Linked DNA regions of Neodiprion lecontei. Each later gene encodes a partner of the first gene's protein in a complex. Links are inferred from orthologs where the notes say so. Each region holds a gene or a part of one and is shown on either strand. Other genes may lie near its edges. The genes, in order: ruvB-like 2, histone acetyltransferase Tip60, bromodomain-containing protein 8 and dynein axonemal assembly factor 10.

Evidence for each region.
Region 2: ruvB-like 2 (region 1) and histone acetyltransferase Tip60 share a complex: the UniProt entries of both Homo sapiens proteins name them as parts of the SWR1-like complex. The link is inferred for Neodiprion lecontei from reciprocal best matches to the Homo sapiens genes RUVBL2 and KAT5.
Region 3: ruvB-like 2 (region 1) and bromodomain-containing protein 8 share a complex: the UniProt entries of both Homo sapiens proteins name them as parts of the nuA4-related complex. The link is inferred for Neodiprion lecontei from reciprocal best matches to the Homo sapiens genes RUVBL2 and BRD8.
Region 4: ruvB-like 2 (region 1) and dynein axonemal assembly factor 10 share a complex: the UniProt entries of both Homo sapiens proteins name them as parts of the PAQosome complex. The link is inferred for Neodiprion lecontei from reciprocal best matches to the Homo sapiens genes RUVBL2 and DNAAF10.

What each region holds. Positions count from the first base shown.
Region 1 is NC_060263.1:34,673,848-34,681,063, reverse strand, and holds ruvB-like 2, read right to left. Parts: upstream 3,999-7,216; 5' UTR 3,867-3,998; coding exon 3,861-3,866; intron 3,427-3,860; coding exon 3,313-3,426; intron 3,197-3,312; coding exon 2,762-3,196; intron 2,697-2,761; coding exon 2,264-2,696; intron 2,224-2,263; exon of another isoform or gene 2,156-2,223; coding exon 1,887-2,155; intron 1,825-1,886; coding exon 1,719-1,824; intron 1,397-1,718; coding exon 1,371-1,396; 3' UTR 1,109-1,370; downstream 1-1,108. Other genes in the region: uncharacterized protein LOC107218712, read left to right, coding at 227-258; protein penguin, read left to right, coding at 4,456-6,384. UniProt on the Homo sapiens protein: Possesses single-stranded DNA-stimulated ATPase and ATP-dependent DNA helicase (5' to 3') activity; hexamerization is thought to be critical for ATP hydrolysis and adjacent subunits in the ring-like structure contribute to the ATPase activity.
Region 2 is NC_060265.1:23,411,037-23,418,542, reverse strand, and holds histone acetyltransferase Tip60, read left to right. Parts: upstream 1-2,542; 5' UTR 2,543-2,730; coding exon 2,731-2,826; intron 2,827-2,928; coding exon 2,929-2,986; intron 2,987-3,078; coding exon 3,079-3,147; intron 3,148-3,381; coding exon 3,382-4,474; intron 4,475-4,604; coding exon 4,605-4,709; intron 4,710-4,769; coding exon 4,770-4,821; 3' UTR 4,822-5,766; downstream 5,767-7,506. UniProt on the Homo sapiens protein: Catalytic subunit of the NuA4 histone acetyltransferase complex, a multiprotein complex involved in transcriptional activation of select genes principally by acetylation of nucleosomal histones H2A and H4.
Region 3 is NC_060266.1:5,248,083-5,257,186, forward strand, and holds bromodomain-containing protein 8, read right to left. Parts: upstream 6,403-9,104; 5' UTR 6,218-6,402; coding exon 6,199-6,217; intron 5,532-6,198; coding exon 2,485-5,531; intron 1,778-2,484; coding exon 1,595-1,777; 3' UTR 1,358-1,594; downstream 1-1,357. Other genes in the region: uncharacterized protein LOC124295608, read right to left, coding at 1-122, 336-576, 723-899; T-cell immunomodulatory protein, read left to right, coding at 6,642-6,688, 7,124-8,897. UniProt on the Homo sapiens protein: May act as a coactivator during transcriptional activation by hormone-activated nuclear receptors (NR). Isoform 2 stimulates transcriptional activation by AR/DHTR, ESR1/NR3A1, RXRA/NR2B1 and THRB/ERBA2.
Region 4 is NC_060266.1:1,917,814-1,923,654, forward strand, and holds dynein axonemal assembly factor 10, read left to right. Parts: upstream 1-2,597; 5' UTR 2,598-2,764; coding exon 2,765-3,031; intron 3,032-3,096; coding exon 3,097-3,597; intron 3,598-3,660; exon of another isoform or gene 3,661-3,706; coding exon 3,707-3,804; intron 3,805-3,871; exon of another isoform or gene 3,872-3,892; coding exon of another isoform or gene 3,893-3,902; coding exon 3,903-4,110; 3' UTR 4,111-4,498; downstream 4,499-5,841. Other genes in the region: DNA polymerase alpha subunit B, read right to left, coding at 1,028-1,082, 1,210-1,435, 1,698-1,776. UniProt on the Homo sapiens protein: Key assembly factor specifically required for the stability of axonemal dynein heavy chains in cytoplasm.

The DNA.
Region 1 (7,216 bases):
ACAAACAAATAATGATATAATAATCAAAATTTCTGCCCGTTTTTTCTGTATTAACGTACCATGGACCAAGATTACACCAGCGGAAATGTTTGCAATTATCGAGGATAAGACCAAGATATTAATTAATCATGATATTATTTTTTGCTACTGCAGATGTTGGCGAGAATATATTGCTGTCAATATTTTATTAATAGTAGTTCATATTTTTTGTTTTTTTATTTTTCAGCCAAAAAAACGCAAGACAAGAAAATCGAGTAGTCGTTAAAATTTTTAACATTCTCCGCGCCTACACATGAAGCACCTTTTTAAACGGAGACACGTTTACAACGCTCGAGGAATGGAGGATATCCTACTTCACTTTAGCAATCTAAGATTTAACTTTGAATTTATCGAGGGTACTAATAGTATTCTAACAACCGAAGTTTACGGGAGCAATTTAACTGACATTTACCAAGCTCAAGCCTGCGGTAATAGGATGAAACATTGATTTAACGCAATCAGTCGAGGAAACCTCTCGCACCTTTGACACGGGAATTTAAAAAAATAAGCGTAAGCGTTAGATTAATTTGAAATTAAGTAATCCCAGTTCTAAAAAAGTATTGTCCAAACGGAAATAGAATAAATGAAAAACGATCGATTCAGTACTGCAAACCAAAGCTTGAAAAGTTTTACTAGCGTTGGATCAATAATATGATAATAAAATTGTTTTTTTTCATTTGTTTTTGGTGCAATTATGCCTGAATTGACTTCGAGGTTGGGTCTAATCATAGAGGAATAGAAGCTTTACACCAAAAACTAATTTTTCTGTACAAACATTGGTTTTTTCAAATCAATAACAATTTTATCCGCATAAGTTTTGCAATGAACAAATTAGGTAATAATATTCTGTTGCGCATTTCAAAGATCTATTGGCTACTCTAAACCCATTTCATTTTTGTAACTGATAAGACTATGTACGTACCTAATAGATTACGAATATAGAAAAGTAGAACAAAATCTCGAATATTTGCACAGCCCAATGTTGGTACAGACACTATAACCAGTGCTTTATATTAAAATAATGATAATAATATATACGTATAATCTACGATTATTTAAAAATGCAAGATTATATTTTTTATATTTTTTATTATTTCATAATAAACCGTCGTGTAATTATTTATATACTTGTATGCTCGTACGTGATGATAGCAAAGTTTCGCACGCCATATAAAGGTAAATAACACAAAACCAGCGCGGCGAAACGGCGAATTGTACTGGAATTACAATACCTGTGTTGGTAGATCTATATTTTTTTGTTCAACTCCGAACGTGCGACTTTGTCAACTCCATCAAACTTTAGAAAGAAACTCGATGAATCCAGTCAGTTATTACGCAACTTCCATAGCTTGTTCTTCTGCGCAAGTAGAAAAAGTCATTTCATAACGGCACATACAATATAAACACGGAAATGATCAAATTGGTTCTCATTTCATATTTCAATTTTCTTTCAGTTTGCAAGCATAGGTATGTGGAAGCTCAATCTGATAATAAGTATTTTGTGTGTGTGTGTGTGTGTGTGCGCGCGCGCGCGTGTGTGTGTGTGTGTGTGTGTGTGTGTGTGTGTGTGTGTCTAAGGACAATAAGTAGTTGTTTACACTCAGAATCAAATATTTCGTGTCTGAATCCATTAATGAATTATTCGAAAAGTAGGTACATCTAATGGTAAGAAAACTTACCCAATTCATTGAACATGAATTCATCTTGGTATTCTTTCAAGAACTGTGAAGATCTATTCTCGTCAAGAAATAGGGAATACACACGTTTCACATCATCAATATTGACCTGCAACGAACATCAAGTATGTACAAATTGACAAGACGACACTTATAATTTTATTCGCATACCTCAGTGCTTTTGCGCTTTCGACTAACAAGCGACGCAGTGGTGATCAACTGAATAGCGTATCTAAGCGACGTCTCTAAGGCTATTCTCGTCAATACTGTCAAAGCATCGTCCGCCATCTCACAATCCTCCTCCTCGCATCTAATTTTGAGAATTTCTTTAAGATCTTTTTCTTGATATGGACTTGTGGGCACGATGATCATTCGATCCAACAGATCAATCGGTATACCGTGAGGGCTTTTGTAAGTCGTACCTCTAATCCTTGTGATTCCTGTCGATTATTAAATGCCGTTAATGGAATCACTGGTGGAGTGGAATTATCGATTACATTTTCTTTGGGTAAGAATAAACTGAATCTTAAATAAATATAAAACTCTACCTCTATTAGTGGCCATTATAACGACAGGTGCCATTTCATTCTCAAGGGCTCTATTGAGGAATGAAAAGCACTCGATATCCAGCATGTGTACTTCATCAATGAAGAGAACACCAGGTACGATTTCAGCTTTTCCTTCTTCTCGCCATTCTGCAACCTTAGCATTTATCTGATCCCGTACTTCAGACTTTATTTCCCCCGTATCTCCGGAAAACAGTGCCAAAAATCCGTGAGTTCTGCTGTTAATAACGTCAACTTCGTGCAAAGTAACCGTATGTACCACTTCCTTTCGTTTTTGGAGCTCTCCTTCTGGGCATTGAACAAAACGGGTTTGTGATCCCGTCGCATCGTAGTCCCGAGCTCGTGTGAACGAACGGCCAAGTCTGTTAATTTTTCCAGTGGCTTTATCAATCGTTATAACATCTCCAGCTTGTACCTTTAATGGAAACATTTTTCATTTAAATTTTGTCGATAATTTATAACTGTTTTCACTTTACTTACCTTTTCCTTCATCAGGCTATCAATCATTTTATTGCCCAGATCGTAAATGGTTTCCATCTCGGTTGTTTTCAATGTCAACTTTCCTACTTTAGCGCCAACACCGGTAGCTGGTCTGTCAACTTGAATCTCTACTACCTCCCCTTCGATAATTTCCGTTTCCTCTTTGATTCTCACTCCAATTGATTTTCGTATCGCCTGAGTTAAAGCTTCAGTTTTACCCATTTCTAAGGAATAAATCTCCGAGCCTGCCATTGACGTGAACGGAGTATCTAGACCAAGAGCTTGGGCCATTCCCATCGCAATTGCAGTTTTACCAGTGCCCGGTTGTCCAGCCAACAAAATTGCTCGTCCTGCGATCTTTCCATCCTTGATCATTTCGAGCACAACACCTGCTGCTCTCCGAGCCATGAGCTGGCCCACCATACCTTGAGAAACCTGCGAGTAATTCATCTTTGTTGTAACGAAATTTGTACATGATATTTGCTGAATTCCGAGTTATTGATACAAGGCTGGGATACATTGCAAATATAATATATTATTGTGAATCTTACATTGCGCGGCTCTAAACTGTCATCCAGTCCCAAACCTCGAATGTGAGAATGAGCGCCAATGCGCTCGATTCTAGTGATCTCACGAACTTCTTGCACCTTTGCTGCAGCGACGGCCTGGAATAAAGTTTTTTTTGTTACTGAATTTGGTTCTTGGATACCTTTAATGTTGTCTAATCTAAGTATAAAAAAATAACAACCAACGGATTGTCAGTGGTAAATGTGATCAAATGAATAGTTAGTGTGATCTTCAATTTTTAAAACATGCCGCAGTAAACGATTGCAATAAAATTTAGCATTGAATCACATTGAAATGACGGAAGACTGTGTTGATCGTCGCAAATTTGTAGGTTACCGTTCACGCGTGCCAAACGCCGCATGTCGACACGGTTATGTTTTGAAGAAGAAGGTTTTTTGAAAAGACGAATTTACAGAGTAAGCTTCAATCAATAAGCTAGTAGGAAAATATCAAATTTATCAATCTTTTCGCCGAATTCTATGCGAAAAATAATAATTTAAATGCATAATATCTACGACGCATTTCCACTTACCGCCATGATTTACAACTCTGTTGACTGATCGTAAAGTTGCCAAGGAAACAGTTTTCTGCATGCGCCACGCATCGCTGTAGGGTACATTTTTACGGGTAGCGAAACCTTGCGGTAGTATTTAGCGTCATTTTATTGCCGCAGCGCCACGCTGCGACAGAAAGTAACTAACCGTGAAATGTGTCTGCAGCTCAACGCAACTGCTACCTCGTGAATCCTATTACCAGAATTCAGAAAGCCAAGCAAAGCCAAGTGCACGCCACGTGATCGTACATTGGCGCAATAATTTACACCTTAGCTTAGTGATTCTATGGTGCGGTTTATTAATTTATAAATATCCGATAATTCACTGACTTTAGTATAATTACTACTGATTTGCTTACGCTGTTCGAAATTCAGTCTGAGAAGTAAGTATTTCCAAAATTTAAACTCAATTTTCATAAATCGGTGTCGTCTTTAATAGGTTATGTTTTGCACGCACGTTGTTCGAAATGTTTGAAATACTTGCAGAAGCATCAGAAAGGTAGAAACAATACGTTACGCTAGATAAATTTTACGTACAATTTTTCTTTTCAAGTTACAGGTAAAAATCGTCATCATGAAACGCCGGGAAAAGGAAGCAGTGAGCCTTAAACCGATAATTAAAAAAGCTAAAACGGCTGTCGACCCTACTGCCAAAGTGAATATCATAAAAAGTTCAGATGCGAAGCTAAAGAAGGTGAACATCTCACAAAAAAATGACGCTTTGGAGAAAAAAGGTAAATTCCAAAAACCAACTGCTGCAAAGAAACCTGCCAAGGCAGACAAGTCACAGAAATTGTTTGACAAGATTAATAATAAGAAGAAAAGACTACAAACTCAGGTTCAATACAAATCTATAAATGGTAGCACAGACACAACTGAGAAACCAGATTGGTTAGAGTTTAAAAAACAGAAGAAAGAACTGCGGGAAAAACGAAGGGAAAAAAGACTGACGAATGCGTATGATGTTACCGTCAAAGCTAAGAAGATTGGTGAAAAATTACGCAGAGCAGATTGTTCTAAAGAAGAGCGTGTAGAGCTCACAACGCAGCTATACGAATTACTCAAGGGACAATTTAGTAAACTTGTCTTCATGCATGACATGGCAAGGATTGTTCAATGGCTTCTCAAGTACTGCACTTCTGAGATAAGAAAAAATGTTACTGATGAATTACAGAAAAGTATTGTTCTAATGTTACAGTCGAAGTATGCCAAGAATTGTGTCAAAACATTGTTGAAGCATGGGACAGATGAAATTCGAGCTATGATAATTGCGGCGTGTAGTGGCAATATAGTTAGGCTAGCAAGCCATTCAGTATCTGCACCAGTACTTGAACTTGCATATTCATCTTGGGCGACCGATGCAGATAAATTATATTTTAAACAAGAATTTTATGGTGATATGTACAAACTAGCCAAGGACAGTCAAATCAAAACACTTGCTGATGTCTATAAGCTTGCAGGAGATATGAAATCTGCAACTCTCTCAGCTGTCAAAGGAAATTTGATAAAAATACTAAATAAGAAGCTGATTAACACCTCCCTTGTACATTCTGTGTTGCTTGAATTCTTAAGGAATTGCACCAAAGATGATAGAGATGAAATGATCACTATGGTCCGAAGTTTGATTGCAGAATTATCTCAGACAAAGGATGGTGCTAAGTCTGCAATGATTTGTTTGTGGCATGGTACAAAGAAAGACAGAAAACTTGCGATGAAGGCATTGAAAGATCAAGTCAAGAATGTGGCGACAAACGAGCATGGTCATATGGTGTTATTAGCTTTGTTTGACTGCATTGACGACACAGTTCTCGTGAAGAAAATGATATTGACAGAATTGCTGAATGATCTGACAGAAATTGCGTCAAATGAATATGGCAGATGCGTAATTCTATATCTTGTTGCTAGAAGGGATTCACATTATTTTCACCCGAAAGTAATCGAACAACTTAAAAAAGGTGATGCCAATGAAACTAGTAAAAAGCCACCAGAAATACGAGCAAAAGAGCTATTGGACGCAGTAATTGATAAGTTGTTAGAAACTGTTACTACAGAAGTATCGACATGGCTATCAAATAGTTCAATATCAATGGTTACGTTGGCAATATTGAAAGCAGGGGATGGAGAGAAGCTCAAAAATGCTCATGAAACTATTAGAGATTATATAACAGATCCAGAATCAGTAATAATGGAAAATGAAAAGGAACAGAAGGTAATTGAATCTTCTGGGCTTCACATGATGCTGAAAAAATTGATACAGAATGATAAAATACTTATTGAAAACAAGAAGTCTACCTTCGGAGAGGTATTGATTGACAAATTGAACCCAGAAGTAATGAAACAATGGATTGAATTCAACAGAGGCTGTTTTCTACTCATAACATTGATAGAAAATAGTGGTGAGACCACAGCCAACATTGTATTAACTAAACTGAAACCTCTACAAAAATCTTTAAAATCTAAAAAAACACCAGGAGCATCTATATTATTAAAAAAACTCAAGTAATGCCTCTGTGTTGAGAGCATCAAATGTGTGTTTCAAAAAATGTACATTATTTTGTTTTAGTTGTTTATTTCAAATCTACTATTTGCAATGATGTAAGCAACATTAGATCTTATAAATATAATGTTTGATTCACATCGTTTTTTTATTTTTTATTTATTACAGACATCGTTTAACATGAAACTCGATTCGAAATTGATTTATTAAATATTTTCTGCAATATAAATAAGTAGGCTAAGTTACATAATTCTTTTCTAAGGGTAACCATGACGCATAACTCATTAAATGTGAATTCATCGTCGTTATACGATACCATTCTATCAAGTTCACTAAAAATTAGCTAAAAATTGATTAAACTTTAGCTATAAAGACTGGCTTGAATGTTAGAGCAGGGCAACAGAATTAGCATAATGAAATCTAGAGGAATTATTCGAAAATTAACTAAACAAATAAGAGTTTAAATTTTGTTTTGTTTTGATTTCACCACGTTAATATTGTATAATTATACGAATAGGCATATATTAATACCAGTTTATAATACATATAAGTAAATATATTTAAAACTTCAATTCCTATCTGATGTTTCTAAACCGTAGCAAAATTTAATACCTTTTTCAGTTGAAAAACAATATTACTAAGTTCACTAGCGATAAGATGGGAATCTCAACGAGTTTGGAGATATCTGCACACGCTCATAGAGCTAAGTCTATTAAACATCATTAACAAAATTAAACTAGATTTTATTATAAAAACATTCCACAAATAGATATTCGAATGATAATGAAATAAATACTCGAATTATCTTTAAACTTCAAATAAACTTTTCCAAAGATTG
Region 2 (7,506 bases), on another chromosome or scaffold:
AAGAGTTACGTTCAAAAAATGACAATAACGTATTTTAGACGCAGGTTTCAATCAAATTAGTGGCAAGCTTACATTCCCGCCAACCCTATCCCTATAGTTTGTATTACTTTAATGGTTGCTGGTGGACTATCGGTATATGAACTATTTGTAAGATGGATCAGAAATTCCTATGGAATTTGATTACGTTACACTATATCGAACGTTGAAATTGCATTGATTCAATAATCATGTGAATATGATTAAACAATAGTTGGAATATATTAGAACCTCAGATAAACCCACTTAAACCGTTTAAATCGCCATGCTACGTTACAAAGGGGACCAAGGAAAACACCCGTAACCTAAACGCATGCTAACTCACCGGGGTTGCCGAGTAATGGAGAAGTTACTCGGATGTCTCTGCTTCACTCTGGAAAAATAAAAAAATTAACTCGAATTAGTTTGGCAAACTGGATTTTCAGTACTCAAATTAATTATTACTGTTATCTACGTCCATATTTATTCACTGAATGTTACACAAAGACAAAAATTCGTCTCTCAATGTGCCACCTTGAATTATCAAACAATAATTAAGATAGGTATTCTTACCTTCTCCAGGTTGCTCCACACTTTACATGCAGTAGTTCTTGTAGCATCTCAGGTTGAGTGGTGAGGTAACGCCGTATTTACACTGCAATAAGAAAATAACAGAAGATTACTCACACAATATACTTGGACTAGATTTCGCGTGACGGTTTTTTTTTCCATATTATCTCAGTGGTGGCTGCTGCTATTAATAAATGACATGTAGGAATGAATAAAAGAAAGCTAATGAAATGAGCACAAGTAGTGAGTAAATGCACAAAATCAACGAGCAGCTAAAATCATTTACAATCAAAAGCGACATTATAAACAATAATCATATCAATTACGTACCTTCCAATTTTCTTCACTGTAGTGGATGGTTTAGTTTTCACTTTGTTCTCAGAGATCGATTAATCGGGTTACTTTATTTACTTCATTGCTAAATGCGGTTAATGGTGCTGCAGTGTAGTTTGTTCCTGTAATGGGGTAAGATATAACATTTCATTATTATTTTATCGTTTAAATCAATACACGTAGCATTGGAAATGCACCATAGTTTTTATAAAATATAATCAAAAAACTAAACAGCAATAAATTGCGAATAAAAGATCAATTTTCCAGAGTGAAAATAGTGTAAAAGGATAATCAAGGATGAAATAAAACGTGTACCTGCTTTGCGATCTTCCATAACGTTACGACCTGTTCGGTTATTGTATTTTGTTTCCCACATTCATTGCTAAGGTCAAACGATTCAAACTTTAGCTAGAACCTCAATCGATCTCGCTGCAGCTTATTTCTGTAATCAGATCAAAGACCACCCATATGATTTAAATATTTCATATTCAAAATCCATATACTCACGACCAGTGTTAAACAAACGGAATTGTAGTATGTTACATATTACGCTAAGCCTTGGAAAATTTTATCGATTGCCTAAATAATAAAGTGAGAAATAATTTTCATTGTTTTATGCCTGCTACCTTTATGCAATAAATTCATCTGTTCAGCTACCGCATTACATCTTCCAAGATTTATTAACAGGATTTTACAATCCAGCTAATTGCTAACATTAATCAACTTTGTTGCAATCTGTTTCTCTAATCAGGTAGGTTGACGCAATATTTTGTTCATAATATAACTTTAAAATCGATCTAAGCAGCATTCAAAATTTACCAGACTTACTCAAAAAGACAATATAAAATATAAACAACAATCAGCGATTCGTCTTCATTCATTTTTTTCATTAGCGATTATTTTATAAAGTATAAGATGTTGAGTGTAATTTTAACATGTCACCTTATAAGCTACCGACAAGGTCACGACAATTAAAGTCACGAAATAAATAGTAACGCTGTAACGCGTCAACCCTTGTTGCATGGAAGTACGAATCAAAATTCTCAGAAATGCCTCGGTGTTGATAAACAAACGAAGGTCTGTTGATTCGCGAACGGTGAACTGCGCGAGTCACCGCGCTACGCATTATAGGGACGCGAGTACAACTACATGTTAATAACGAAACTCTTTCATTCAGCGTACGTTCCGATAGACTGTTTTTTACGGCAAAATAAACCAAGTCATAATAAACGTGCTAAAATTGCATTTTACAAAGGTCCGTTTGATCAGAAATTGAGAGAGAAAATCGCAACAGAGAATTAACGGGACATTCTCTCGTCACAAAACGCGGTGAACAGTCAAACGTTTGCCCGAGAACAATCTGAATGTGTCAACGAACTATCTAGAAAACTTCAAAATTTTAGAAAGAACTCAAATCACCTTATGCAGACCAAATATTGCGGTACGAATTCTAGACGATCAACGCACGTGGCTCTGCTCCTGCTGCTCGAAAGCGAATGACGCCGCTCACTTACGGAACGAAGTTTCGGGCTGCGCGCGGCGAATGCGCAGAATGCGGCCCGCGTCGTACAAAATTGCTACTCTCCGCAGCGTCAGGCGTAAATATGTATTCTGTATTTTCTGTACTACATAATCTGTAACGCATTTCGGAATTAATTAAATATTTCGCATTAACGCAAAATTAATGGAAAGTACGAGACGAACCGCAAACCTTGTCTCTTTACAATATATATATTACCGGCAACGCTTGCGTTTAGTGAAAGGGTTCTGTTCTGAGCCAAGAATAGCGCTAGTGTCTGCTCCCCGAAGTGTATGAAAACAACATTGTGTTTAGTGACAAGTTTTGGTCAAATTCTGATCAAAATGATCGAGGAACACGATGAGCGGGAGACGATATGTGATTCAGTGGTAAGTAGAGCTGTATTACAACTGCGAAGGATATGAATATTTGACCCCGGAGCAAACGTTGGATGTAATTGTGAATTTTACTAATTCTAACCTCAATTTCAGTCATCACTTGTCGAGGGTTGTCGTTTGCCGGTCAGGATGCAAGACGGCGACGACTGGCGTAAGTTACTTGTAGCCCTGCAAAATTATTTAAAATATTTGGAACTCGTTCCGCTGCCCTCTTCGTTTCTCACACAACGTTTTCTTTTACAGCGCTCGCTGAAATCATCAGCGTCAAAGAGATGCGAGGTGTCAAATGCTACTATGTCCACTATGTGGATTGTAAGTATTCAATTACTGCAATTAGATGACAGGAAACTTTGCAAACATGAATATTCCATAAAACGTATCTTTGTATTATCATGGAATAGCCAGTTGATTAGCTTTTCTGTTAAAAGTTTACTGTCATTAGCCATGAAAACTTGAACTGTCACTGCAAACTTGATATATTTGAATAGTGCACATTGTTTCCCTTCGATATGCCACTCCGAACAACAGGAAATTAAATTATTTCAGTTAACAAACGATTGGACGAGTGGGTGATGGAAAATTGTTTAGATACGCGGAAAGTTCAATTTCCAAGGCGAGATGGTACAGCGCCTGGAACGGGGGCAGCGACACCAAAAAAACAGATTCCTAGCAGGCCGCCGAGTCCAAACAATGTGATACCTGAGCCGGTCAACGGTTCGGCAGTACTGCAGGCAGCGTTACAGAAAAAAATTTCTAGAAAAAGAAAAGCTACATTCTTAGAGAACGAGGATTCTCAAGAAGCACCACCGCAACCTGTACCTGCGGCTACCGGCCCAAGGTCTACCGGTTCACTGGTAGCGCATCACCACGATGATGTTGTAACTAGGATGAAAAATATAGAATTAATTGAATTGGGAAGGCATAGGATAAAACCATGGTATTTCAGCCCGTACCCTCAAGAAATGGTCAGCCTCCAATGTATTTACATATGTGAATTCTGCCTCAAGTATCGAAAGAGTCGAAAATGTCTAGAAAGACACTTGGCAAAATGTAATTTAAGGCATCCGCCTGGAAACGAAATATACAGAAAAGGCTCGATATCGTTCTTTGAAATAGATGGAAGGAAAAACAAGAATTATGCTCAAAATCTTTGTTTATTAGCAAAGTTATTCTTAGATCATAAAACTTTATATTACGACACGGATCCCTTCTTGTTCTATGTTATGACACAATTCGATAGCCGAGGTTTTCATATTGTGGGATATTTTTCGAAGGAGAAAGAATCGACCGAGGATTACAATGTCGCTTGTATTTTGACAATGCCTCCTTACCAGAGAAAGGGTTATGGAAAACTGTTAATTGAATTTTCTTATGAATTATCGAAATTTGAGGGTAAAACTGGATCTCCGGAAAAGCCACTGTCCGACTTGGGGTTATTGTCGTATAGAAGTTACTGGGCCCACACGATACTAGACATTTTACTAAACGTCAAACCCTTAGTCGAGAATGAAAAACCACAGATAACGATAAACGAAATATGTGAACTGACGTCGATAAAAAAAGAAGATGTCATATCAACGCTGCAAAATTTAAACCTCATTAATTACTACAAAGGACAATACATCGTTACGCTTAATAGGTAAGGAGACAACAAATGATCGATTTCATCATCTTCATCGTGATCTAAACTTCTATGAATATACTTGACATCTAACGTTGAACGAAAATTAGTGGAAAAATCATTGAGTTATGATTGTATATTTTCACAGAGATATAATACAGCAACACGCCGCCGCAATGGAGAAGCGTCAGATAGGAATAGACCCAAAATGTCTTCATTGGACACCAAAAGACTGGAGCGTCAGAGCGAAATGGTGAACAAAACTAATATCTTGCAATACAAATACGCTAATGTGATTTAAAATTCGTTTCAGGAATCCTGGAACTGATTATCTACGTCACGCAAGCGTGCAAAATTGTACATAACTCTCGAATTTGTGGGGCTTTTTTTCTCGTTTTAAACCTGCTGTGTCTAGTTTCAAAAATATTGCATGATACATATACACCATATGTATGTATATAATATTGTTAGATGTAAATTCTTATACTTGTACAGATAGAGATCTTGTTAATTATTCATTCCATATGTGTTTTAAGTATAATTGGTTTGCCAACGCTCTTTCTTCTATATTATTTTATTGTATTTAATAATATTTAATAATATAGGAATAACGATAATTAATAATAACAATAATAATAATTATAAGACAACGGCCAGAGCAGTTCGACGTCGGTGTGGTGCGCTTGTTATTTGTTCGGATCTTGTATTTTATGGTACCACTCACGATTGCACAGTTATTATATTAATATACAAAATCGTAGAAAGATCATCTATTTGTATGTCTGATCGTCTGTATGCACGGTAGCGTTGAACAGCTCGTGACCAAACTTAAACTGCGTACAACTTGGGCATAAAATAATAAATCTTCGTCTGCGGCATTGAAGAACAAGCAATGTGGTGAACTTGACTAGATTAATGCCGTCAGTAACCGTATAGTAAGAATGAAACAAGAGAAGTATGCTCAAAAAATGCGAATTTTAGTCTCGACAAGGGAATTCAAAGTTTTACAAATACTATTTTCCTTTTATACGATATGGAAATTGCTCTCGTCACTCAATTTATTCCGTTTGCGTTTCTTTTTCCTTTCAAATGCATTGCCCGGCTAGTTGCCCACTGTTTAAATCCGTTAATACCAGCATTGTCTATACGCTTATTTTTAATTACACCTAAGACTATTTTTAAACGTTGTGGTCGAAAGGTGCAAAGGATCTTTGGTCTGGACATTTCATTCATTCAATAGGTCCAAGTGCACTACCCCATGCATTGATATTAATTTTCTCATACAAGTACGTCAGGCACCAGAAATCAGTGTAGCATGGGGTAAAAAAACAAAAATTATAATAATAACAGTGGTAAGATGTCTACAAATTAAGTATGAACCATAATTACTATCTTTAGTTTATTACAACGTTTAATTGAACCCCTACAAAGTGTTTACCGATTGTAGTATAGTGCCATGGCGGGCTATATCAAAGTTGTTATCGATTATCTGTAAATTGTCTTATCATTGCGTATTTTTGTCTGTATTAAATTTCACGCTTATAGGAGAAAGGAAGAGAGAGAGAGAGAGAGAAAGAGAGAGAGAGAGAGAGAGCGAAAAAGCAAAAAAAAGAGACGCTATGAGAAAAAAAATTATGATTTACAATAAATCAAGCTCATTTCGATTTAATTCGACTAGTTACTTATGTGGTGGACATCAATTGTTGACAGAAAAAGGAGGAACGAGAAAAAATCCCTTTTTTCATAGATTTAATCTACGAACATTGTCAAAATCTTTCGTCTTGTATTTCAGCAAATGTGAAAGATGTTTTTTTTTTTTTAGATTAAGTATTCAATCATGAACGGCGAATCGTAAGATTTATCGACTGATTTAGTCTGTACCGGTGTAAGGGAAATGGAAAATTAAGGGTGACGATGTACAAACATGTATATTAATTGTAATATCAACGAAGCAGTTGCGCAAATTTTGTCGAATATCTTTATACATATAGCTATAAGTATAATTATCTATCTAAATGGCAAATATTCATGAAACTGGACACAGAAATTATTTAATATTGGATAAGTACACATATATATATAAAAGTATATTATATATATATATATATATATATATATATATATATATATATATATATACAAACACATGTATAAAAAAATTTTAAGGCGCATTATCAATGAACGAAATGACTATTATAGCGATAATTACATTACTCTATACAACTTGTACAGCGATACACTTTGAGAGTGTAAAATTGTAAATAAATGAGATTTTATAAGAATGCTGAGATGGGTCTCATTCCTCTGTAAGAAAATAAGCCTCTGTTCTGTACTAATTCATATTTTATCAATCTGGATGGTTAATCAAAGAGTTGTCTTTTCTTACTTTTTCTCAACCGCAGGGTACGGAATAAATAATCCATAAGATAAATACATCATACATACATATATATATATATACGTATATATATAATATATATAATATATTTACAATATATATATATTGTATATATATTTATTATATTCAACAGTAACATCACAGTAGCTTCATATACAATAAACTTTTGTCATATAATAATTTACTTTAATTTGTGTTGGCTTTCATGTGCGTGTCATTGTGTCGTCGAAAAGTCTTTGAATGATGAGACCTGCCACACAGGAACATGAAAATCAATATCGTGAATTCGTTAACTTTTATAACAACGCCAATATGTATTTTCTCACAAAAGCGAACAAAAAAGTTTTCAATTCTCGCGCATTGCGGCGCCGATAATTAAATCGCATCCTTCTACTATAACGATTATAAAGTTTTTCTATTATCATTACACCATTAATATTACTCATTATTTTTATACAAATCGAATAAACACGCATTATATAGGGATAATATTAACGTTTATTCGTTTCTTCGATGTCGCTGCAAGTATATACGTTATATTGGACTTAATTGAAAAACTGACGCTGGCTAATCTCAACATTCACAAAAGTTTAGATGATCTCCAATAATATGTCACGTGCCCATTATGTAACGGTGTTTGGCAATTTTTATT
Region 3 (9,104 bases), on another chromosome or scaffold:
GACTTTTACATCGAAAGGTGGTCTTGACGCGGAAGCCTTAACGGTTGGGCGGTTGCTTAGTTCTCTGGATTTTTTAGTCAAGGGTGAACCTTGCTCTTGATTGCATCTCCGTCTTCTATGTGCTAGAAGTTTCAAACAGTCGTTTCAAAATATGACGTCATCACGGAATTTCGGCCATGGTTAGTTTTCAACTTTCACTGTGTAAAGAGAAATTGAACTACAAATTTCCTTTCTCTTTTCACCAAGTATCGAATTAGGAAACAATTCTTTGAATGACATCAATACCCTGGAGTTTGCATGCTTCATCAATACATCTGTAATAGCATGAAATTTACCACCGTGACTGATCGGTGACATAATTTTCATACGAATGCCCGGATCAGAGTTGGAGCTGGATGATTGACGAAGAAGAGATCTGCTCCTTTTACGAATAGCAACTCGATTTCTGTATGCCACACTGCGTCTCCTCCTCTGCTTGCAAACCAAACGCAGCCTTGACTCGGAACCGCTCAATTCGTCTTCGGCCCAAAATTGACGGTCAGTATCGTCGGCTGTTGGTGGCATTGGCAGTGCTGGCTTTGACAATAACTCTGATGAACGATCATTACAGATTTCTATAGCTAATGACAAATTTCATGTACGAAAAATCGATTTGGAGGAATTGAAAGTAAGAAGCTAAAGTTGTAATTGCTAGAGTTTGATTATTTGGAAAACAAACTTACTGCTTCTCCGGATGTTCCTGGTACGGGAAATCTCTTCTCATTGATGTTTAAGTGCGCCATCATTGCATACGTGATAGGAGCGACATGTACAAAGTTGTTGTAGACTCCCTGTTGAAGTTCTTCTTCTTCGGAGCTGCAGATTGCGTTTTTACAATCTCCTCTAGCATGGTCACCCATATCTCAGAATATATTTATTAAACAATTGTTCACTACTGTAGAAACTTTATTTTCGGTTTTCAGTCATTAGTAAGAGAAACTTGTAAATTTTGACATGTCCTAGAGTCATCTTATGGTCTGCCAAAATCAGTATTTAAGAGTAACTTCTGTTGATTCTTTTTTTTTTCACTGCTTCATGAATTGTGACATTTGTGGTCACGAAACTATGAAGGGTGTTCGATATGTAGAGATGGAATTTCTTCACTTCACAATTACCTCGTTCCGTTTTAGAAGCATTCGATGCAATAGAAAAAATCACGAAAATCGTTGGCCAGAATTCGAATCAATGTAAGTACGCTTTCATAATTTTCACAAGTATTGAAATAATTGAAATATCCATGGTTCATATTAATGAGGAAAAATCCTTTTTCGACGGCTGATATCAGAATATTATGAATCAATAAAAAATGTAACACAAGTTGTGGAGATAATTCTTCTATATTATGGTATATACAGTTGTGACATATTGTCCATGAGGCGTACTACACTTTAACACCTTGCAGTACTGTGGACAGTGCAATTTTCCCGATAATGTTTTTGTACCTTCAACCGGCCGCAAGCTAGCAACTTTGTCCACAAGTTGGTGAAAGGAATTTGAACACGATATACGTGAAACATTATCAAGCAACAGATCGACACTTGACTGTTTGAACGTATTAATCGTTCTCCGATTTTCTTCGTTTCTTAGTGCGTGCACTGTCAGAGTCATGTGGGCTAGGAGTTATGTGACTTCTTTTTCGCTGCGGTTTTGCAGACGAATCGCCAAAATCGCTACTACTGCTAGCAGCTGTTCTTGTTTCTCTTCTAAACGGTCCCTCGCCGGTGACTTGTACTAATATCTGTCGAAAGGCAAAATAAAGCACTAAATCAGTGATCTCAAGTTTCCAGGCTTCAAATAAAAATGATTCATGGCGTGGGTTACTCCCGTGCCAAATCCAAGTCAGAGATACATGCCCAGATATACTACCGTGCTGAGTGTTATGGCTGACTGCCAAGCATTAGTCTATCCAATATTTGTCAGTTGTAAAGATAAGTCATTTTCTTATTTTTGACCGAGAAAAGACTTTGCAAGATATTTTTTTAAACTGAATATTTACATCTGGAATTGAATTTATCGCCGTTGATTGGAATGCTGTACAACACGTACTGATTTTAAAGAACAAATCCTCTTTTGAAACTTTCTTTTGATTCTAAGTATTTTCTCTTTTCTGGAACAGCATAAGACAGGTAACTCGTACTCTCAATTACTTCGCATAGTTATGCATCCTTCCACATCAAACTTGACAACATCGCAACACCCTTCGAAATTTTTTCTTTCCGACAAAACGGCGACCATTTGAAGTTGAGATTCGATTTTTCATTCATTGTTGATCATTTTTTTTATTCAATAAAGAAACAAAACTCGAATGTTGAGAATAGAGAATTGTAGAGATATAAATCCGCAAAATTTACCTGCTTTTGCAGCTGTCTGCTCGTATATATCTATATCCCCTTAAGCTTTGACTAATACCAAAAACAGGTTAATACAATATTTTCGTAAACACACCTGCATGTGTTGCAAGCATTCTTCTTGCATGGAAACAGCCATTTTGTAGACAAATGTATCCTGTTTGTTGTACATAATGGCGTTTTGGAACATCAGCATAACATCTCGCTGGAAGTGCATTGTAGACCTGATGGTTCCATTGTCAATGTTCTTTTTAATGGTTGACAAATCCATGGGACGGAAAATGACCGAATGATAACCCGGCGCTTGATCTTCCGTGATGGGCCTCAGAAATACAGACGCATATTTGTGTGTGACCAGTCTATTAAATACCAACATAACAGCTTTCTTCCAAGCACGGTAATCGGCACCTTCCCCACTTCCTTCATTCTCTGGTTCACTGTCTATCGTAACAACCGGCCTCTTGGAGTAGGTTTTCATGGTGCGACCACCACTCAATTTACTCAACGAAGATTCCTCCTCGTCAAGGTCTCCATCGTCTGCGATTCCAGTGACCGGCTCTTTTTTGACATCTGGTTCAGGTTCCAAGGTTTCTTTTATTACCGGTTTATCCTCTGGCATTTCATTGTCTCTTGCCACCTCGTCGTTCTTCTCCGTAACAGATTCTGCATCAATTTCGACTTTAATTTTGTTTTGTTCTTCTGCTTCCACAGTTTTCTCAATAACCATTTTCTCTGCCTCCTCTTTTAATGTTGACTCTTCGGTCTTCGTGGGCTCCAGAACATCTGGAGCTTCTTCTTTCACAACCTCCACAGCTTCCGGTATAACAGGAGGATTTGGATCAGTCCCTGATACGCCGCCTACCTCTGCCACCTTGTCGTTGACTTGATGAACTATCACGTCGATAGAGTCTTTAAAGCTCTCCTTCTTGTCTTCTTCCTTTTCCATTTCTTCCGAAACATTGTCCTTGGACTCAGTTGTTGATTCGTCCATGACGATTGGCACGTTCTCGGTGACTTTTACCACCACATCAGGTTCCTCCTCGGTTGAAACGGTGGATTCCTCAGGACACGACTCAAAAGTGTCCACCATATCTGATACCTGTTCTTGAGGAGGTGTTTTGTCCTTGTTTTGCGACCCTTGCGAACTTTCGTCATCTTCTAAAATCAGACTTATGTCCTGAGATTTCTCCGCTTCCTCTGCACTAGCTCCATCGTTTGAAGTCTCGGACGATACACTGGCGGGCGCTGCCTCAGCCGATTTGTCTTGTGGGTCCCCGGTTATCTCAGCAAGATCCATTTCCAGTTGATCTATTTGCGGTTCTTGTTTAATCTCCGATTCCTGAACAGGCTCTTTCTCATCACTTGTACTGTCGCTTGTTGTATCCTTCTCAGCTTCGATGAGGTCAGTTTCTTCCTTTATCGCGTCTTCCGTCACCTCTGGTGTGGCACTCTTCTCCATATTCCGGTCTTCCGACCCTTTTGTATCCGTCGGCGTGTTTTCGTTGCTTTCAGACTCTTTTCCTTCGCTTTTGGGACTCAACTCCACTTCTTCGGTAGTATCGTCTCCTTCATAAGGGGAATTCCGAAGTTCCTCTGCTAACGATTCGTTACCCATGTTTTCCTCATCCGCATCCCCAGCCTCTGATTTGGCTTTCTCTTCAACCTTCGGCGATTGGCAAGTGACCATTATTTTCGACTCCGTAGATTCTACAGCTACGGTTCCAATGATTTCCGCGATATTTGACGTGCTTGAATCGATATCTTCTATTGCTAGTTCACTTTCAGGTGAATCCGACAATGATACTGGCTCATCGACGTTCCGAGGTTCTGGACGAGGTTTCGGGCGAGGTTCGGGACGCTTTGAGACAGTTTCTTGAACCGTTTGTACAGTCAATGGTTCCACAACAGTGGCCGCGGATGGAGTCTCGTTCGTTCTTGGGCTTGAAGTGATCTCCTCTTTGATCAGCTCCTCAATATCTCCAATGATTTCGTTTATTTCATCTTTGTCAATAACGTCGGCCATTATATCCTTCCCAATAACTTCGTCTATATGGTCTATTATCTGTACCATACTCTCTGTTACCGGGATGTTCTGAGATACCGATACCGGCGGTGGAGGATTGATTACTTGCAAAACACCTTCGGATGTTGACGGTGCGTTGGTTGGTAGAGAAGAATGAATTTCGGGAGGCATACTAAGCTGCGTTGTTACCGTAGAGGACGGTTGCAAGTTTGGTAACGGTCCACGCTGCGGATTTGCCGGCAATTCCAAAAGCATAGAAAGCGTTGGCGCACCAGCTGAAGGTCTTTCGGGTGGCGCGTTTGCTATTGCGGTAGAGACCAATTGCTGCAATTGGGAAGAAACATTTTGTGCCAGACCACGATCTAGCTGGGAACTCGGGACCTTTGGACTCGAAACTAGGAGACTGGCTATGGTAGGGGAGCTAGCTTTTGTTGGCGTCGGTGGTGTTTGTACTTGAGTCGTTGGGCTGGTGGACTTTAATAAGCTCGTCAGGAGCGGCGATCTGCCCCCTCGTTTCTTTTCATCCTCGTCATTATTCGATGACTCCGATACAGAAGCATCATGGTTTTCCATCACACTGTCTACCGCTTTTCGGTGGACAAGTGGTGGCGGTGTTATCATAGATTCTTGCTTTTGTTGTCGTTTGGTTAGCCATGCGGCGTATGCTCTGACTTTTTGCTCCTGTTCCCGTTCTTCTTGTTCAATGACTTGCCACATTTTCTGCAGCTTATCGTCGGATAAGGGGCCGCATTTTAAAAGGTTTACTTCCGCTTTGAGCTGCTGATATTCGTCTCTTTGAAACGCAAGAATTTGTTTCAGTTCCGCAATTCTTTCCTGTGTTAATCGATTCACTATGGATTCAGCTTGCGTTTCTCCGCTCTCCCTTTTTTTCCTTTTCGGAGTATCCGCTGTTTCCAACAAGTGTGAATATTGAACGGCACAAGACTTTTGAGAAAACCAATCAGGTGGTCGCAATGCTTCTTTTTCAGCAAACGGCTCCAATGATTCGGACACGGCTTTCCAATTCTGAACATTCTCCCCAGAATACAATACGCTTGCAGCCAAGCATAGCTGCTCTCTTGTGCTCCATGTATCGTACGGAACACGTTTTACTTTCATCCCTACGATTGCAATAATTTATTAATAGTTGAGGAATAATCATCTCTGGAGACTTCCATGCAAGAACAGCAATCCATTTAACTAAGACTTGGCAAGTATCTCCAAAAGTAAATTGTACTTTCAAGCATGTCTCCAATGATTATCATGTTTAATTTCTTACATAGATACATTGATTCTCTTCAGTGATGATTGGCAATGCTTTAGAAATACAAGAAAAACTTGTTGGTGTGTGAAAATTAGAGATTTAAAAATTTTGTTTCCAAAATATGTGTGAGTAAAAAAACTGAAAGGAGAAATGGTTGTCTATAACTACGGCTTGAACCTGGAAAATATAAAGATTCTCGAAACATCAGTCCAATTTGGAATACAGTTAAAAATAAAAGCTTGGTAAAGTATCAATCGCCTTTGTCATCCAATTCGAATGATATTGTGGTTATGTTTGCAATACACAAATAAAATCGGTTTCGCGTGGAAATCTCCATCTGTAAATTTAGTCTAAATGATTTCGAAGAAATAAATACTAGGATTAATCAGTGTTTTGTGACAAATAAAACCGTGAAATCACCGTACACAGTTGAATAATAAGTCGTTTGTGTACTCTAACCTAAAAACTGTGAGTAAACGAAACGGCAAAATTAGTGAATATACAGAGTCTAGGCGATAACTTACTGTCCTGTGCAGATGCCATGTTGCTACTAGTTCTTCTTACATGTGTGTCTCATTAACAATTCACTGAGTTTCTTGGTCATTCATGTTTTGATACAAAACGTACCGCAATTCTCGTTCAGTTTCGTGCACTTCTCAGTTTTCATTTACCACCGGGAAATACAATACGCTAATGCAACCACACAGAATACAGCCCAGTGCTGAAGTTGCGCAGACTGATGCGCAAGAACTTTGTAAGACAGCGAGAGAGAGAGCCAATGGTCGACTTGATAGTGTAAAAGAGATACAAGATAACTGATAGAATTCAGAACACTGCAGGCAATCCCCTATTTTCGTTATAAAAAAAGCACTACATTTAGTTAAATTGTGCTGTAGTGGCAAAGCTGAAGCTGTTTTAAACTATACATGTCCTTCAAAACCAACGAGATAGAAAAAGACGTACATACATGCATAGATCATTTTCCGGACGGCTGTTTCGATTACATGTACCTGGGTGTGTTATTTTGACAATTGAGTATGACAAAAGTCCATTTAAGAACTATGCAGTACCCGTTAATAGAATATTGTATGCTTGAATAAGGAAATACAAGGGACAGATTCCTGTTTGCAACAAAATTCAATCAATCGTCTTTGATCTTCAGAAATAAAGAAATACAACATCTTGACATCTCCACTAGGTGAGAATAAGTAAAATATCGAGAAGTTCTAACCTCTGATAAAAATGTGTTTTATGTTTATTGAGTAAACATAAATCATTACCTGCCTCCTTGATACTTACATATGCTTCGCATTGCAAGTAAAACTTGTGACATACAATTGACAGAATTACAATAAAATGTAAATAGCTTAGATGGGCATAGAAACCACAAACTGAAAAGAAATTAAATAAGCAGATGACTCATTACTGCGTATCTTTTTTTCATTGCAGACTATGTAAAGCTATCGAAATGGGCAAGGCAATTTTATTTGTTTACCTCATCTCGAATTTTTTAATTGTCGCACGATGCAGCGACATAACATCAACGGTATATGGAAAAATTTTGGACAAGATGCCTGCAGCGTTTGGCGATTTCAACTCTGACGAATTGACGGATGTATTTGTGATCGACACGGATGGTAAATCCGTTGAAATTATGCTGGCAGCCGAGCAAGAGCCTCTCCTGAGGCCTGGGGTAGGCTTAAAGTGTACCTTTAATAATTCAGTGACCAGCATTGTGCCTGGGGATTTTGATGGTGACGCATTTATGGATGTTTTCGTAACAACGATAAAGGACGGTCTAACCTACGGACACATTTTGTGGGGCGGAAACGGGCAGTTGAATTGTACACCTGAGTCGAATCCAGTAATTGTGATGTTTGGACAGCCGTTAGCCATCGATTACAACCAAGACATGATTATTGATTTGTTTGGACTTGATGCAAATCAAACAAGAACATTTTGGATATTCAATAAGAATAGAACTTCACCAGCAGTTGTAAAAATGCAATCTAAAAATGGGGATAACTTTGCGCTCATAAGAAAACCACATTCCAACGCGTTTCTAGATTACAATGGCGATTTTATGCCTGATTTATTTATAACAACGGAGAATGGATTTGAAATTTGGCTGGGAAGCGAGGAGAACTTCACTCTTCATCAAAACATCAGCTTGCCGCATAATTTCGCCGTCGTTGGTCAATCTTTATTCTTGGACGTCGAGCTCACTGGCAAAATGGACCTGATTCTACCCGCATGTTATGATGCCGCATGCAAGAACAGCACTATTATGATACACTCAAATGGGTGGCACAATTTACAAGTAGATTTCAAAGATCCTGACAACATTGACTGGGGTTTCTGTAAACCTAACGGGCGGCGTTACACGGATACAATAACTCTGAGAGGCGGCGATTTCAACATGGATGGGTACCCAGATTTACTGGCAACTTTGACAGTTGCGTCAGAATCTGAGCCCAGAACATTCTTGCTTGAGAACGTACCTTGCACAAACTGTAAAGAGTTTAGTCGAAAATTTTCTGTACAATGGACAGCTCTGAATCCCTTGAACAACAGAACAGTTATGGCTGTCTTCTATGATTTTTATCAAGATGGCATATTGGACGTGATTTTGATAGAGCAAGAGGGAAATGAATACCGAACTCTGGCGTTCAAAAATAGCTTGGACTACGATGCTAATTTTGTTAAAGTCATGGTTTTGACTGGGTTATCGAACAGCCTGTATCCCATCACGCCTGGAACACTTGGCAAGAAGAAACGGACCTATGGCACAAATCTACCAGGCCCATCGATCGCTTACAAAACGACGACACAGGATGGAAGTATGCGCATGGCAGTAGCGGCACAATTACCGCAGAGCGCACACTTCTCCCTCAATTTGCCATACTCAACGTTTGGGTTGGGTCGCACTCCAAATTTTATTGATACCCTCACAATAGGGTTGAGCAACAAGTCCCGAGAATGGACACAAATTATTCCCAATTCCCAGATGGTCGTGATTCCGACACCAATCTCTGAACCTTCTAGATGGAAAGTTCAGTTATTTGTAACACCCAGTAAACTGATCCTATTGAGCGTTGCTGCATTGACTGCAACTTGCGCTCTGATTATTGCCATAATTTTTGGACTATATTGGAAAGAAAGGAGAGAGGATAAAATTGAAAAACTTCAGGAGGCACACAGATTCCATTTTGATGCTATGTAATAAGCTTTTATCACTGTTAATTCAGCTTAAGTTCTCACTAAAATATATATTTCTAATTTAAAACATACTTTATCCTGTAGAACGGAATTATACGTGTAACTAAATGAATTGCCAAGACTGTTTTAAGTTTCCTTCTTATGAGGGATGCAAAAACAAGGGTAATAAAAATATGCCGAAACCGAGATTGGGCAAAAAAGTTACTCGGAA
Region 4 (5,841 bases), on another chromosome or scaffold:
CGCGCGTTCGCTTGACGTAAGCTTGGCAACGGCGCTTTCATCAAACTGCCTAACGCTCTGCTCGGTTCCTGCTCTTCTACCACCACCGGCTGCATCGGTCGGCTAGCCGTCAGGATCGGGAGGAGAGGCGGTTTCACGGAACAAGGGGAGAGGTAGAAAAGAGACGAGAGAAAAGTGGGGAATGAAAGAGAGAAAAAGAGACAGACACAAAGCCGGATAGGAACCTTGGGAGATTCGAAATATTTCCAAAATTCGCCGGAGGGAAAAAGTGGAATGGAAAAAAAAAAACCGTACGAAACGATGATTCCTTTCCATTATCATGGGGAAAAAAGTAAACCACAATTTCCAACACACGTAGAGACACGCACATACGCATGTAAATCGATCTTCTTTGCCTGGGAACCAACCAATGAAGAGATTATGAACAAAAAATGAAAAGATTAAAAAAGTTGAGGCAACTATCACCAGCGAGCTGAAAACCTGCGCGGCAAACAAACGAAAAAAGTAACAGCCAAGAAAGCAAAACTCGTAGTGTACAGAACGTGTATGTGATCTGCCTGCTCGACTGAGGATCGAAAACGAGTATCTTGATCTCTAAATGATACCTGCGTGGCATAATACATGGAGGAAAGGATAGAGCCTGCAATGAGGGGGAGATACAGGAATGAATCACACGATGGCGCATACTTTCGATAATGCCTTTATAATGATGGGTTGTGGAAATATCCCCCCCCCCCCCCCCCCTCCCTCTGCCCCTTTAGCTCCGCTACTCTAAGAATATATCCTGACATTATTATCTTCCACCTGCGGTGAAAAGAATTTTTGACTATTCTCCGCTGTTTGGGATTTCTTGAATAGAATTAAGTAATCATTTATCGGCCCGTAAAAGCTGCAAAAGCGAGATAAATAATTCTGGGAAACTGTTGCAATAAAAGATACAATGCACGTTTTTATAAAAACACAATAAAAACAATGGAAAAATTCATGTCTTACAACTATTATGGAAAAATGTGTTGTTTTTACTCACTCTTGGCGTCGTTGGGGTTTTCGCACCGTAGAGCTCCAAAATATCTTCGTCATCACTGGGACCAAGTTAAGGAATCTGCTTGTTATTTTGAAAAGTATTTGTACCAGGTCTGGCAGTTTGGCGAATTGAGTTTCCAAGGTTTACGTGCAAGAATTTCAACTCAATTTGTTTGCAAAGGATACTTGTACTGTTTCATTGAGTGAGAGTTATACACGGCGAGTTTCGACAGTTTGGCATCAGCCTTTGAATTACCAGCGGAGCCCATGTCTTTCTTCAACTCGTTTCTTTCCATCCGCAGTAAATACTCCACAGTTGGGTTGTCGCCTCGGCACTGTGACACGCTGAATGCCATCCATGTTTCGACCAGCGCTTCTTCGTTTAAATTGTACAAATCGCAGAGATCGAGACCTGCGGAGGATCAACCATGTATTAGAAAATAGACTGTTAGCTATCAAAATGTAGGTAATCGTGCATGTGATCAGTTTTCCCAAATCAATTTTTCGGATTTCGGTAGAAGGGCCAAAGAAAACAGTCTACTAAAACGGTACGGTTTCTTTTCCAACCCCCAAAATTAGCGAGACGCGTTTCGACAGATATCGAAATTCCTCCTGCAGGATTTTAACTTCTACGTGCGAATGACGAACGCGAATGCTGAGATTTCGATACTCACATTTATTGAGAGTCGCCTCGTCGTTAACGACGACTCCGAAGACAGCGAAATGCTCCTTCAAAGCATCCTTCAACACCATCTTGTTGTCTGAACTCTGACCGACTGCTCTCTGTTTTCCCGCCAAATATATTTACGTACCTCGAGGTCTCTGGAATAACGAACATAACCTCACTCAATATCACGCTCTCACTCCATCGGTGTCTCTGTTTTTCCCTCCTCTACATCATGACTTGAGAAGGACAAGCTAACCATGCAAGTGCACGAGGCTAATTATTCAATCGTAAAAAACACCAATCACACTGCTATTTGAGCGATAAAAAATCTGCCGAAAAATCAACGCGCATTGTATCAACAAGAAGAGAAACAAGTGATTGTCGGCGACGCGAAACGACCGTTGTAAGTATTCAAACTTTCCTGATTCAAACTCCTTATTCTTCTTATCCTTACGCTCTGATTGGCTACTAGTCACATCCGGTGCTTCTCCACTACGCCGTTGATTGAAAAATATAAAGACGCGTATCGCTGAGCAAATTTTCCTGACCTGGGAGCAGAGAAGTATTATGCATGCGAATACGCTCATCTCCGAAATGGTCTATTAGGATTTGGCATTCCGATAGTACAGTAATGTTTATTAATGCTTTGGAAATCCGGCTAACTTGTTTTCGGTCCGAAACAAAATGCGAGTTTGTTTCTATAAGTATTATATGACAATGACTGACAGTGCTGGAGGTACCAGAGAGATTGGGAGTCATTGTCACATAATTCATATAGAAAAGAACTCGGATTTATATTTCGAATCCCAAATAAGTTAGCCAGAAGCCCAAAACTTTCATGAACATTATTGTACAACAGAAATGTGACTTTGACCATCGGTAGATTACTGCGAAGTGCTTACCACTTGATGAAAATCGCAGAAGCGATAAATAAGGCATACAGCTAATAGGAGGCGTTGGTATTTGTTTATCGCGTGTTGGCAGTCATTTAAAAGGCTGTCTCCTCGTGTCGATATCGGCTGGTAGAATTTCGCGGCTGAAAGTGCAACCAAGTCCGTATCGAATGATTTAAAAATGGATAAACTATCCAAGCCGCAGATAATATGTCACATCGAAAAGTCAGTGAACTATTCTTTGTTCGACGCTAAGTGGATACCAAGCAGCGCAAAGTTCGTCGTAATGGGTTCGAGGCCGCGAGGATCTGGCGTTTTTCAAATATACGAAATATCCAGCGGGGAGCTTAAGCTGATCAAAGAGATCGAGCGCTCTAATCCGATGAAGTGCGGCACCTTCGGAGCGTCAAGTTTGAGAGAGAGATACTTGGCCGCCGGAGACTTTAAGGTAAGAATCTGAGCCGCTGTTACCAGCTCTTTACTCGCTGTCGATTAACAATTGATCATTTTCAGGGTAAACTGAATATCTACAACCTGGAGGATCCTGCGATTCCTATTTATTCGGCAAATGCTCACAAGGAGATCATAAACTCCATTGACGGCATCGGCGGGCAGACGATAGGTTGCGGGGCTCCTGAAATCGTCACCGGCTCCAGAGATGGCAGCGTCAAAGTCTGGGATCCGCGGCAAAAGGGGCGGCCAGTTGCAGTAATGGAACCAAATGAGGGCGAAGACCGTAGGGACTGCTGGGTTGTCACTTTTGGCAACTCGTACAACTCTGAAGAAAGGGTCGTCGCGGCTGGCTATGACAATGGCGACGTTAAGATGTTTGACCTAAAGGCGATGGCTCTCAGATGGGAGAGCAACTTGAAGAACGGAGTTTGTGGATTGGAGTTTGACAGAAAAGATATCGCGATGAACAAACTGGTCGCCACCACTCTTGAATCCAAGTTCTACCTGTTTGACCTGAAAACTCAACATCCCAAAAAAGGATTCTCTTATCTTTCAGAAAAAGTAATTTGCAGTTCAGTTGTTTTGCTTGTAATTTTGTCAAAATAACCAGAAAGTAATTATTACCCTTTTATAGAGCATTGCAACAAGCCATAATCCGACTTGATTTCAGGCGCATAAATCAACTATATGGCTGGTACGTCATCTGCCCCAGAACCGAGAGATATTCATGACGTCGGGAGGTGGAGGATCGCTATGCCTTTGGAAATAGTAGATAAATTTCATTCACTCAAGTTCATAATTTCCTAACAAATTTTTAGTCGAATGTTATACTCACAATGTAAAATTTCTGTTCTTGTGTGCCGCAGCCAATATCCTGAAAAGCGAGTGACAGCAGACGCCGATGGCATAGAGCAGGGAGTAGTCGGTTCAGTATCTCTGCTCCAGAACAGCACGCTCTCTTCTCAACCAGTCAGTTCGTTGGATTGGAGTCCAGACAAGCAAGGACTTGCCGTCTGCACTGCGTTTGATCAATGCCTTCGTATCATAATCACCACGAAACTGAACACGTACTGAAAAAAAAGAAAAGTATCATTTTCTGCAAGATTTTTTTCAAATCTGTCCGGCTCGTTACTCTTTGCCGGCTTTTCGTACATTCCATGGTATATGCAGGATTATTAGCAGTATCATCTAATGGTGGGCAGAAAACCGTTCACGAGAATAAAATGGAAGACGTAAAATTGTATCAAGTTGGATGCAAAAACTTTGAGACTCAGTTCTGCGATTGAATCTAGAAGGAGAAAATAATTATGGAACCCAATAACGTATTTGAGAGCTCTCAGCACAGTACATTGTAAATAGTTTCATTTCTTCGCTATATATATGTACCGAATATCGCTGAATAGAAGAGCTTCGGTAATATACGCGGAAAAATAAAATAAAAGACTCTAAGACTTCCATCGATCACAAAGCGAGTTGTAGTATTTTTGTTTTGTAGATACAATTCAACGAGATGGGAGAAGAAAAGAAAAAAAGGTGTCAATTATTCTTATCGTATAATTGAACACGATGACGTGGTTTTTTTTTTTATCGATTTTTATAATTTCGATGTAAATAATTTACCATCAAAATGTTCGGGCATTATTTGATTCCATAATGCGTAGCGAATTACCGGTAACAGGGATACAGAGAGTGAGTTACGAGAGTATAGATATAGTGAAATTGTCTATAGACGAGCTAGGTAGGTAGGTAGATGGGTACAGGAATAAGCTACGGGAGTTTCTGCGCTGTTCTATCGATTTTCAAAGCCTGCGCAATTATGCAACAACATTAGAAACCAGAGACAGAACTGGGCACGAAGCGGGAGTGAGATGAAGAAAGAACGAGGTGGGGGACATGACCGACTACGAAAACACGTATGTAACGAGTCTAGGTGAAGGAGAGAAGAACAGAGTACAGAGTTTCGAGGAGGAGGAGAAGAAGAAGCAGGAGAGGAAGGGGTTGCGCCGAGATAAGGGGAATAATATGTTATTGGGGCAGTCTATTTGTAAGCAACCGCTTATTAACGCCGCTACCGGAGTCGGGCGGCCATTCGGCGTCGTTACGCAACGGCCATTTTGGTTCCGCTGCGACCGCGTCGTGTGATGGCATCCGAGTCCCGTAGCATCTCGATCGCTCGCCTAGCTTTGCTCTTTGCTCGCGCACCGCACACGGGCAGCGTGAAATCGAGGGTATTTTACCGTTGTGTTGAAGCGGGCACAAGGCGTGTGCGTGAAACACGGGATTACGGATATGCGATCGTAGATATTACAGCATTTACGGCGTTCACCAGCGCCGGCCATACTCGATTCTTACTAAGGGACCTGGCGATGATTTCTACAACCACAAATAATTTTATGGAAATTCGAACGTTTCCTATTTTTTTAAATTGCATTGGCTTGCAGAGAATGAAAATCTACAAGTTTTTGTGAGAAACTATTCATATTTTCAATTTAGAAATTACTTTCACCAAAGGGGGGGGGAAGAGGCGGAATCCGTACGCTCGCGGTACCCGATGATTTCATTTAAATAGCTAGCTGAGTGGCTCCGGCTGGCTCTATTCAAGGTCACGGATTCCGCGACTTTAATTACATGAGTTATCCATGCTCCGTGTACCCACCCGTTTAACCCACGCAGGGTGCAGCCAGCTTTGCTGCGGCCAATTATCGGAGTGAAATGGACTATTAATCACGTTGAAACCTTGCCCACGTTACACTATAAAGTCAAAATTTGTCCGAGAGAAAGAGACAGATAAACGACTCGTGCAAT